Linked DNA regions of Canis lupus familiaris. The protein of the gene in region 2 interacts with the protein of the main gene of each other region in a pairwise test. Links are inferred from orthologs where the notes say so. Each region holds a gene or a part of one and is shown on either strand. Other genes may lie near its edges.

Region 1 (3,814 bases), on a different chromosome or scaffold from region 2:
GCCCGGGGCGCGATCCTGGAGACCCGGGATCGAGTCCCATGTCGGGCTCCCGGTGCATGGAGCCTGCTTCTCCCTCTGCCTGTGTTCTCTGCCTCTCTCTCTCTCTCTCTCTGTGTGACTATCATGAATAAATAAATAAAATCTTTAAATAAATAAATAAATAAATAAATAAATAAATAAATAAATAAATAAATATTTGCTAAATGAATGAACCGACACTTAGTTCTCCATGTGAATGGCTTGTTTCAAAAACACGGAGCCAAAAGAGGCAGGCAGCCGAGTGTCTCAGAGAATAAGGACAACCACAACAAAATGAAAATACCAGCCAACACTCGGGACAGTGTTTGCCATATGCCTGGCACGGTGTCTGGGTTTGCCCTGCATTCACTCCTTGCAGCCTCACAAACTCCTCCAAAAGGAGAGACTATTTTTCATCCCCATTTTACAGATGAGGAAACTAAGGCTCAGAAGGCTTAAGTAACTCTCCCCAACTGACAGCTGCTTAAGTCAGTTTTTGCACCCAGGCTCTGTTCCTGAGTCCAAGCAAACAGACTGAGAATGGGGAATGAGAAAACTTTTCCTCATTCACTCGGGTCCTGTCTTTCACAGATAGCCTTGGGCATGCCAATTTTTTTAAGTCTCTTCTGTGCATGGTGTTGGCCACTCAAAAATAAGTAAATAAAAATAAATAAAGCCAAGCTGCTCCGGTCTCTTGAAATATGTTCTTTCTCCATCCAAATTGTCCCACGTGGACTCATGCAAGCACAGGAAGAAAACAAAAAGGACAAGGTCTTCATGAAGCTGTAGAGGAATGCAAAGGAAGCCCTATCAGAGAACTAGGCTGAGCCTACCCAGGGAACATGTACAGGAGGAGCAATGTGACTGGAGAAGCAGCAAGAAAGCAGCAGATACCTGACTGGGAACCTCTCAAACTCAAGCCCGTGCTGCACCCCCAAAGAGAACAACCTCGACATTGTGATCCACTGAATTCTGACCCGATAAAGCAAAATTAGTTACCTATCTCCAAATCTGCATGCTCCTGTTTTACTGTAGAATGGACAATTAGCTCGATCTTTCTCCATTATCCTTAAGTCGATGGGTGGTTCTGGGTTTTGCCATGTGGCACCATTTTCCAACTGTTGAAAATAACCGTGACTTTATTGGTGGTGTAAAAATCCATGAAGAACTCCATGTTTAAAATGTATGCAAATATTTTGGCCAAAAATAAAAAATAGATTTAAGAATAAGAATATATACATTTAGGTCATAACAGGCAATCCAAACTTCACGAACAATTGCCCGGAGACATGCACCGTGTCTTTCCTGGCTCCCAGTCATCGCCCATCATCAGGCGTCAGTCACTGTGGCTACCAGGAACTGTCACCGAGGTCTCCCTTCTGCCCAGCCATTCTGAATGAGGTCAAAGGACTTGTCAGGGAACCACCCCTGAGAGAGACCAAAGTTGCTCTGTAGCAAGTCAAACCATTTATTTCAGGGCAACAGTGTGTGATGCTGCTCACACACACTGTAAGGACTATAAATAATACAGTCCAGAGAGGTGACTTGATACCATTTGCTTTTGCTCATCAAAAAACTTTTGCTGCTGTTGTTGCTGCTGTAAAAATCGCAGAGCTACAAAAGTGATTCTGATACTCAGATGTGACCTAAATAGCTTACCACAAAATTAACATTATACTGGAAGAACCGTTTTTAAAGAAATGTTCACTGATCTCTAATTCTGAATGAAAGATTTGAAAATACCTCATTTTCAGCCTGCTCCAGCATCTTCTGCACAGCTTCCTACAAATGGTGCAAACATAGGACTAATGAAAACCTGCAAGTCAGGAATGTCACGTCTGGTTTCTCTGGTTAAGAATCTCTGTAACAATTAAAAACATAAAAACAAAAACAAAACCCCACACACATCAAAGGTTTCAGGTTCTAATTTGCTTTCTACAGCACAGATCTTCTGAAAAGCTTTCAAAGGACATATAGCTGAGACTGTTTATTCAAATAGGACATTTATTAGCTCCCATTGCAAAACAGTCTTAAATTGTTTCAGTTAACAGTAATACTTAGCATATTTGCTCATATATACCACATTCTAGCTTTTAAAATGACTGATATAGTATCAGAGAATTATTATAAAATGCAATGCTTAGATCAAACATCATCAACACGTAACAGATATTAAAGTATGACATGAACAGCAGTAACTCGGGTTGATGAAAAAGATCAAACTTTTCGGTAAGGCAAAGGAAGTCTTACAATGTGCCAGTAAATTTTGAGCTGTCATTTAAACAAGTTTTAAATTATTCTTGACAGACTTCTCTTCCCTAGCCCCTTAAAGCATTACATAAAAGACTCCTCTGCCTCGCTGCGTACTTGAGAACGCTACCAGGACCCCTGGTTAACTTAACATGCTCACCAGGCAACTCTGGTTCTTCTCCACCCCCAATCACCTGAACACCCCACATCTCCATAAAGGACATTGCCGTTTGCCCCCTTGTTTGGACTAACAACCTAAAAAGAAGAACTGGAATTCCTCTCCTTTTCCTTCCCCTCCCTGTCTGTTCAACCATACACCTCACATCTGTAAACTTATCCTAACTAAGCACTGCCCTCATCCAAACCACCATCATGTCCTATCTGGAACAGCAGTCTTCTAACTGGTCACTCTATTTCCATTCTTGTCTCCTTGGTCACCGCTCCTGTTCTCCACCCCCTGACCTGTCTTTATACAAAAGTTAGAATGATCTGTTAAGGGTATAGACATGAATTAAGTGAAGTCAAACCCTGCTTAAAAACCCTGCTAATGGCTTCCCATGACAATATAAAATGCAAACTCCTCCTTCCAGTCTAGGAGGCCTTACATGATCTGACCCTGCCTACCTTCCTGACCCCTTCCCTCACCACCCACCACTCTCTCCTTTGGTCTCCAAGATTCAGGCATCCTGACATCTTTTCAGCTCCATGCTCAGGCCTCTTCCCTCTGCCTGAACCCCTTTCCCCAACATTTTTGCACTCAGGTGTCAGCTCAAACCTCAGCTCCTTGGACAAGTCTTCCATGACCAGGCAATTTAAAGAAGTACACATCCCTACCCCACTATCACATGACTCTGTTTATTTCTTTATAGCACTTAAAATTATCTTTTTTGCTTACTCATCTGGCTCCCCATCTCAAAAACTCAAGGAGAGCAGGGACTGTATTTTTCACTGCTTTATCTCTATCTACTAGAGAAGTATCTAGCACACAGTAGAAACATGACTGCATATCCCTTTATACATGCTTAGAACCTACTTTATCTTACCTGCCTCTCCATAAGGTCTCACTTGTCTTCCTTTGAAAGAAAAGCCTGTGCTTTTTTATAAGGCTTAACTTTAATCTGATGCCACAAAGGCCTCAATTGAGAACACTCTGTTAAAATGGGAATCGAGGGACACCTGGGTGGCTCAGCGATTGAATGTCTGCCTCTGGCTCAAGGCATGATCCCAAAGTTCTGGGATCAAGTCCCACATCGGGCTCCCTGCAGTGAGTCTGTTTCTCCCTCTATGTTTCTGCCTCTCTGTGTGTGTCTCTCATGAATAAACAAATAGCATCTTTAAAAAAAAGGGGCGGGGGGAATCAATTACTCTATAAAAAAATGACAAGCTCCCAACAATTTCCCTGCCCCCTAAAACATTAGCATGGCCTCGCCTCATCTATAATGCAGCGCTCAAATGAGGGTGTTAAAGATTTGCACTGCAGGGGTGCCTGGGTAGCTCAATCACAGCTGAGTGTCCAGCTCTTGGTTTCGGCTCATGTCCTGATCTC
Region 2 (3,814 bases):
CAGGAGGAGGTGCTGCTGAGGCTGCTGGATGATGAGGGGCTGGGCCGGTAGTAGGGGATGGGGCGTTTCCGGGCACTGCGGAGACCAGAGGGAGCGCGCTGGACGGACCAGACCGCCCAGCCTCCCCCCGAGCGCGCCCGCCGTCCCCAGGGGAAGCGGACTCCTTCCTCCATCCCAGGCTCTTGGGGAAAACACCCTTTTGCGCGCTCCTCCTGCTGTCCTGAGACCATCTAGTGCTGGTGTCTCGAGAAGTGACAGCTCTCACTTGAGAGCCAAGCAAGCCTGAGGCTGGGAGTCTCCAGCTGGCAACCGAATCTACATCTAGACTTTAATTGCACGTTTTGTTTATCTCTTTTTACTTTTACTGGAACCTTCTATTTATGGTAAGAGAGGCTGATCTTCCATTTGCTATGGTATACTGTGGTGCATTCCTTTTGCATTAAATGTATGGACCTCTAAGAAAGAACATATCTGTGTAAAGAAAGGTCAACAACAGTAGCTTACTAAACAGGTAAGTGCAAAGTGCTCGGATGCCGCTGGATGCCTAAAGTTTGGGAAACACTGAATGGCTCATCAGGATGGATTATCTGAGGTTGACTCAGGAGACGAGAGCCTTTTAGAAATGCCAGTTTATCTCAGCCTTCTTCTAAGTCCACCCCAATGGCACCTGTGGTCCATGCTGTGGGAGTAGGACTCCCTTCGTGTGTGCCGTGCTGTTCTATGGGATATCCGAGAAGGTGATGCCATTGCCCCCATTCTTATTGTTTGGAGTCACAAGTGCTTTTCCCTCCTCCAGGTCATCTCTAGGGAGGAGGCCCAGGGCAGCCAGGACATCGAAGCTCCATTCCTGTGAGTCCCTGGATGGAATGGCTGACCCTTGGAGGGCCAGGAGGAGCTGATTGTCCGGAGCCAATTTCAGGACAGCACTCAGCCATTCTTCCTGCTTTCAAGGCCTAAAACTATGTGTCCATTCAGACCTCAGGTTTTTTTTGTAGGGCTTTTCTTATCTAAGACCTTAACTGTTAGAGGCAACCTGATCCACCTAATCTGACCATTCAATCTGTAACAATGACACAGCGAGGGTTCTAGTGTTTTGCATTTCAGTTTACAAAGTGTGTTCCCATCTCTTTGCCCCCCCTTTTTTTTCATCTTCATGATACACACTCCTGAAGGAAATATTCATGGATGAGAACTGAGAATCTGGGAGGTGAAGAGACTTCTCCAGCTTACCAGGAAAGTGGCACAGCCGGGTTCCACTCCAGATCCAGTGCTCTCCCCCTGGCCCACCGAGGCTCCCTCTAAATTCCTTTGGCACCTAAAGATCCTTCTTGCCCTCTCCACACTTGGTGCCAGCTATGATCAGGGCCTATTAAAGCCTGGCATGTGGTCTGACCGTGATCCGTCTTCGCTGGCCGGCTCCACCCCCAGGAAAAGACCGGTCCCGCTGCTTTGCCCCCTTCGCCCGGGATGCGACCTCGCAGCCCTCTCCGCAGACCCCGGCCACACCCCCTCCTCAGGCTGTCCCCACCCCTGTCCCGGGGCACCCATCCTAGCCCCGCCCCGAGGCCCTGACCTCTCCTGTCAGGCCTCGCAAATTGCCTGAGCTCCCACAATCCTGAAATCCAGCTCCACGGGGTGCAGGGGAGATCCCGAGGCCCCGACGGGTGGGAGGGGTGGGAGTGAGGGTGAAGGTGGGCACCCCGGCCCTCCTGGCCTCACCTGGTTATCCTCCGCGCCTCCAGGTGGCTCGGGGAGTCTCTCCGGCGCTTGCGCATGGGCGAGTAGGACCGCCGTCTCCGACGTGCTCGCTCGCGCTCCCGCTGCTGCGAGTCCTTCTCATTGTACTTGGGGTCCCGCTCCCTGAAGGGGTGCGGGGGTCACTGGGGAGCCGGGGCTGGCTTTTCCGCATGAGCCAGGGGCACTCACTTCCTCTTCCCTGCGCCCCGCACCTCATTGCAGCAGGTGCTGGGTTCCTCCCGGGGCCCCAGGGAACGCGGTGGGGAGTAGGACAGGGCTCTGGTTCAGTATTGTGGGGAGACCAGGCGTGGGCGCGGGTGTCGGCCTTCGAGGGTGGGCGTTACAGGGGCCTAGGTGCTGCGGGGTTAGGATGTGGCGGTCCAGAGGGCCCTGGTGCATGCGTAACAACTGCGGCTCTGAATAACGGGGATCAAGGGTAATATTAGGTGCGTGAAGAGGCTGAGGGCCGGGGATGCGAATTCTGGGGTGTGGCTGGCTGTACTTTCCAGGGGGGCCGTTAGAACCCCAGGATATGTTACACGTCTCCACTCCAGCCGAGACCAAAGAAACTACGAGGATGCTGGGTGGTCTCCCCATCCCTACTCCCTCAAGGCTGGACAAAGGGGGAGCTGGGGCGGGGCTTGGGTGACGCTGCGCAGAGGCCGGGGGGAGGGGCCGCGAAGGCGGAGCCCGGGCTTGGGGGCGGGGCTGTACCTGCCGGGGCTGTACCGCGAGTAGCTGGGGCTGCGGCGCGATCGCGAGCTTCTGCTCGGCGGGCTCCTCTTGCCAGACTTGGAGGAGTAGCTGGAAGAGCGCGAGTAGGACCTGCGGGACACGGTAAACAGTCCCCGAGGGCCTGCTGGGCTTCGCCGGGGCCGTGCCGGGGTCGTCCCGCAGGGGTAGGGTTGTATGCGGCTGGTCCCCCGAGGGCGACTTTGACTTTCTGGACGCCAGACCCAGGAATCTGGCCCTTTCCTGAGAATGAAATTCCCTCTCTTTTGGGCGACTAATAATAATATTGGTAACTCCTCCTTACTGAGTTCTTACCATCTAAGGCCACTTACTAGTTATGTGACTTTGGACAGGTGATCTCACCTCTCTGAGCCTCTGTTTTCTCATCTATAAAATGGGGATAAATAATCATACTTTCCCTATACAGTTGTAAATTCAATGAGTAAATCACTTACATACCTCACATAGGCAGCACACAGGAAAGGTTAGCTATGACTGTTAGGCTGTTAGGTATTTCATTGAATTAATGCTTTGTGTGCATTATCTCATTGAATCCTCAACACATTGTAGGGCGAGGTACTATTATCAATCTCATTCCACAGATTGGGAAACAAAGACACTGAGAGGTGAATGTTTTCATTTTGCAGATAAGGAAACTGAGGCTCAGAGAGGTTATCTGAGCCACCAGCTAGGAATGGGTACAGTGGGCATTCAAACTCATCTGTCTGACCTCCCCCCCCGCCCCCCACCAGGGCCAAAGGACATTTCCAGTTACCATAACTAGCTCCCTAAGGAGGAAAGCTCTGCAGATCAGAGGCCAAAACTGCACTCACCTTTTTCCAGAGGAGGTGGATCGGCTTCGGGTGTACCTGGGGGAGACTCTGGGGTTTGGGGATCGGGAGGAGTGGCTGGAAGAGCGGGTGCTGGCATAAGAAGGGCTGCGGGAGCAACCTCTCATAGGGGAGCTCCGGGCTGTGGATGGGACCAAACCAGACTTCTTCACCTCTGCACATTCCAGGCATGGCGACTGAAATCCTCTGCAGATGTGGGGAGAACTCCTGTCAGCACTGGCTTGCCTGCCGATCTGGAGGCATCTGCTGATACTCCTCTGCCTACCTTTGCCTAGGCTGTGGTACTCTCAGAAACCCCTTTCCACCTATTCCCATCTTACTGCCTCTGGAAAGACTTTCCAGAGCACAGATGTTAGAGGAATAGGAACAGAGGGGAACACATTCCACAAGGGCACTTCAGAGGATTTTAGGTCAGTGGGCATAATGGTAAATAACACCAAATCACATAGACATTTATTTCCTTTGGAGTCTTTTTTAATCCTGGTTACATTAAT

Evidence for each region.
Region 1: the proteins of SRRM4 (region 2) and ZRSR2 interact in binary tests that used the Homo sapiens proteins (3 or more experiments, as listed by UniProt). The link is inferred for Canis lupus familiaris from reciprocal best matches to the Homo sapiens genes SRRM4 and ZRSR2.

What each region holds. Positions count from the first base shown.
Region 1 is NC_049260.1:12,099,438-12,103,251, reverse strand, and holds part of ZRSR2 (U2 small nuclear ribonucleoprotein auxiliary factor 35 kDa subunit-related protein 2), read right to left. Parts: intron 1,801-3,814; coding exon 1,762-1,800; intron 1,137-1,761; coding exon 1,018-1,136; intron 1-1,017. UniProt on the Homo sapiens protein: Pre-mRNA-binding protein required for splicing of both U2- and U12-type introns. Selectively interacts with the 3'-splice site of U2- and U12-type pre-mRNAs and promotes different steps in U2 and U12 intron splicing.
Region 2 is NC_049247.1:15,661,713-15,665,526, reverse strand, and holds part of SRRM4 (serine/arginine repetitive matrix protein 4), read right to left. Parts: intron 3,507-3,814; coding exon 3,303-3,506; intron 2,563-3,302; coding exon 2,452-2,562; intron 1,861-2,451; coding exon 1,720-1,860; intron 76-1,719; coding exon 1-75. UniProt on the Homo sapiens protein: Splicing factor specifically required for neural cell differentiation.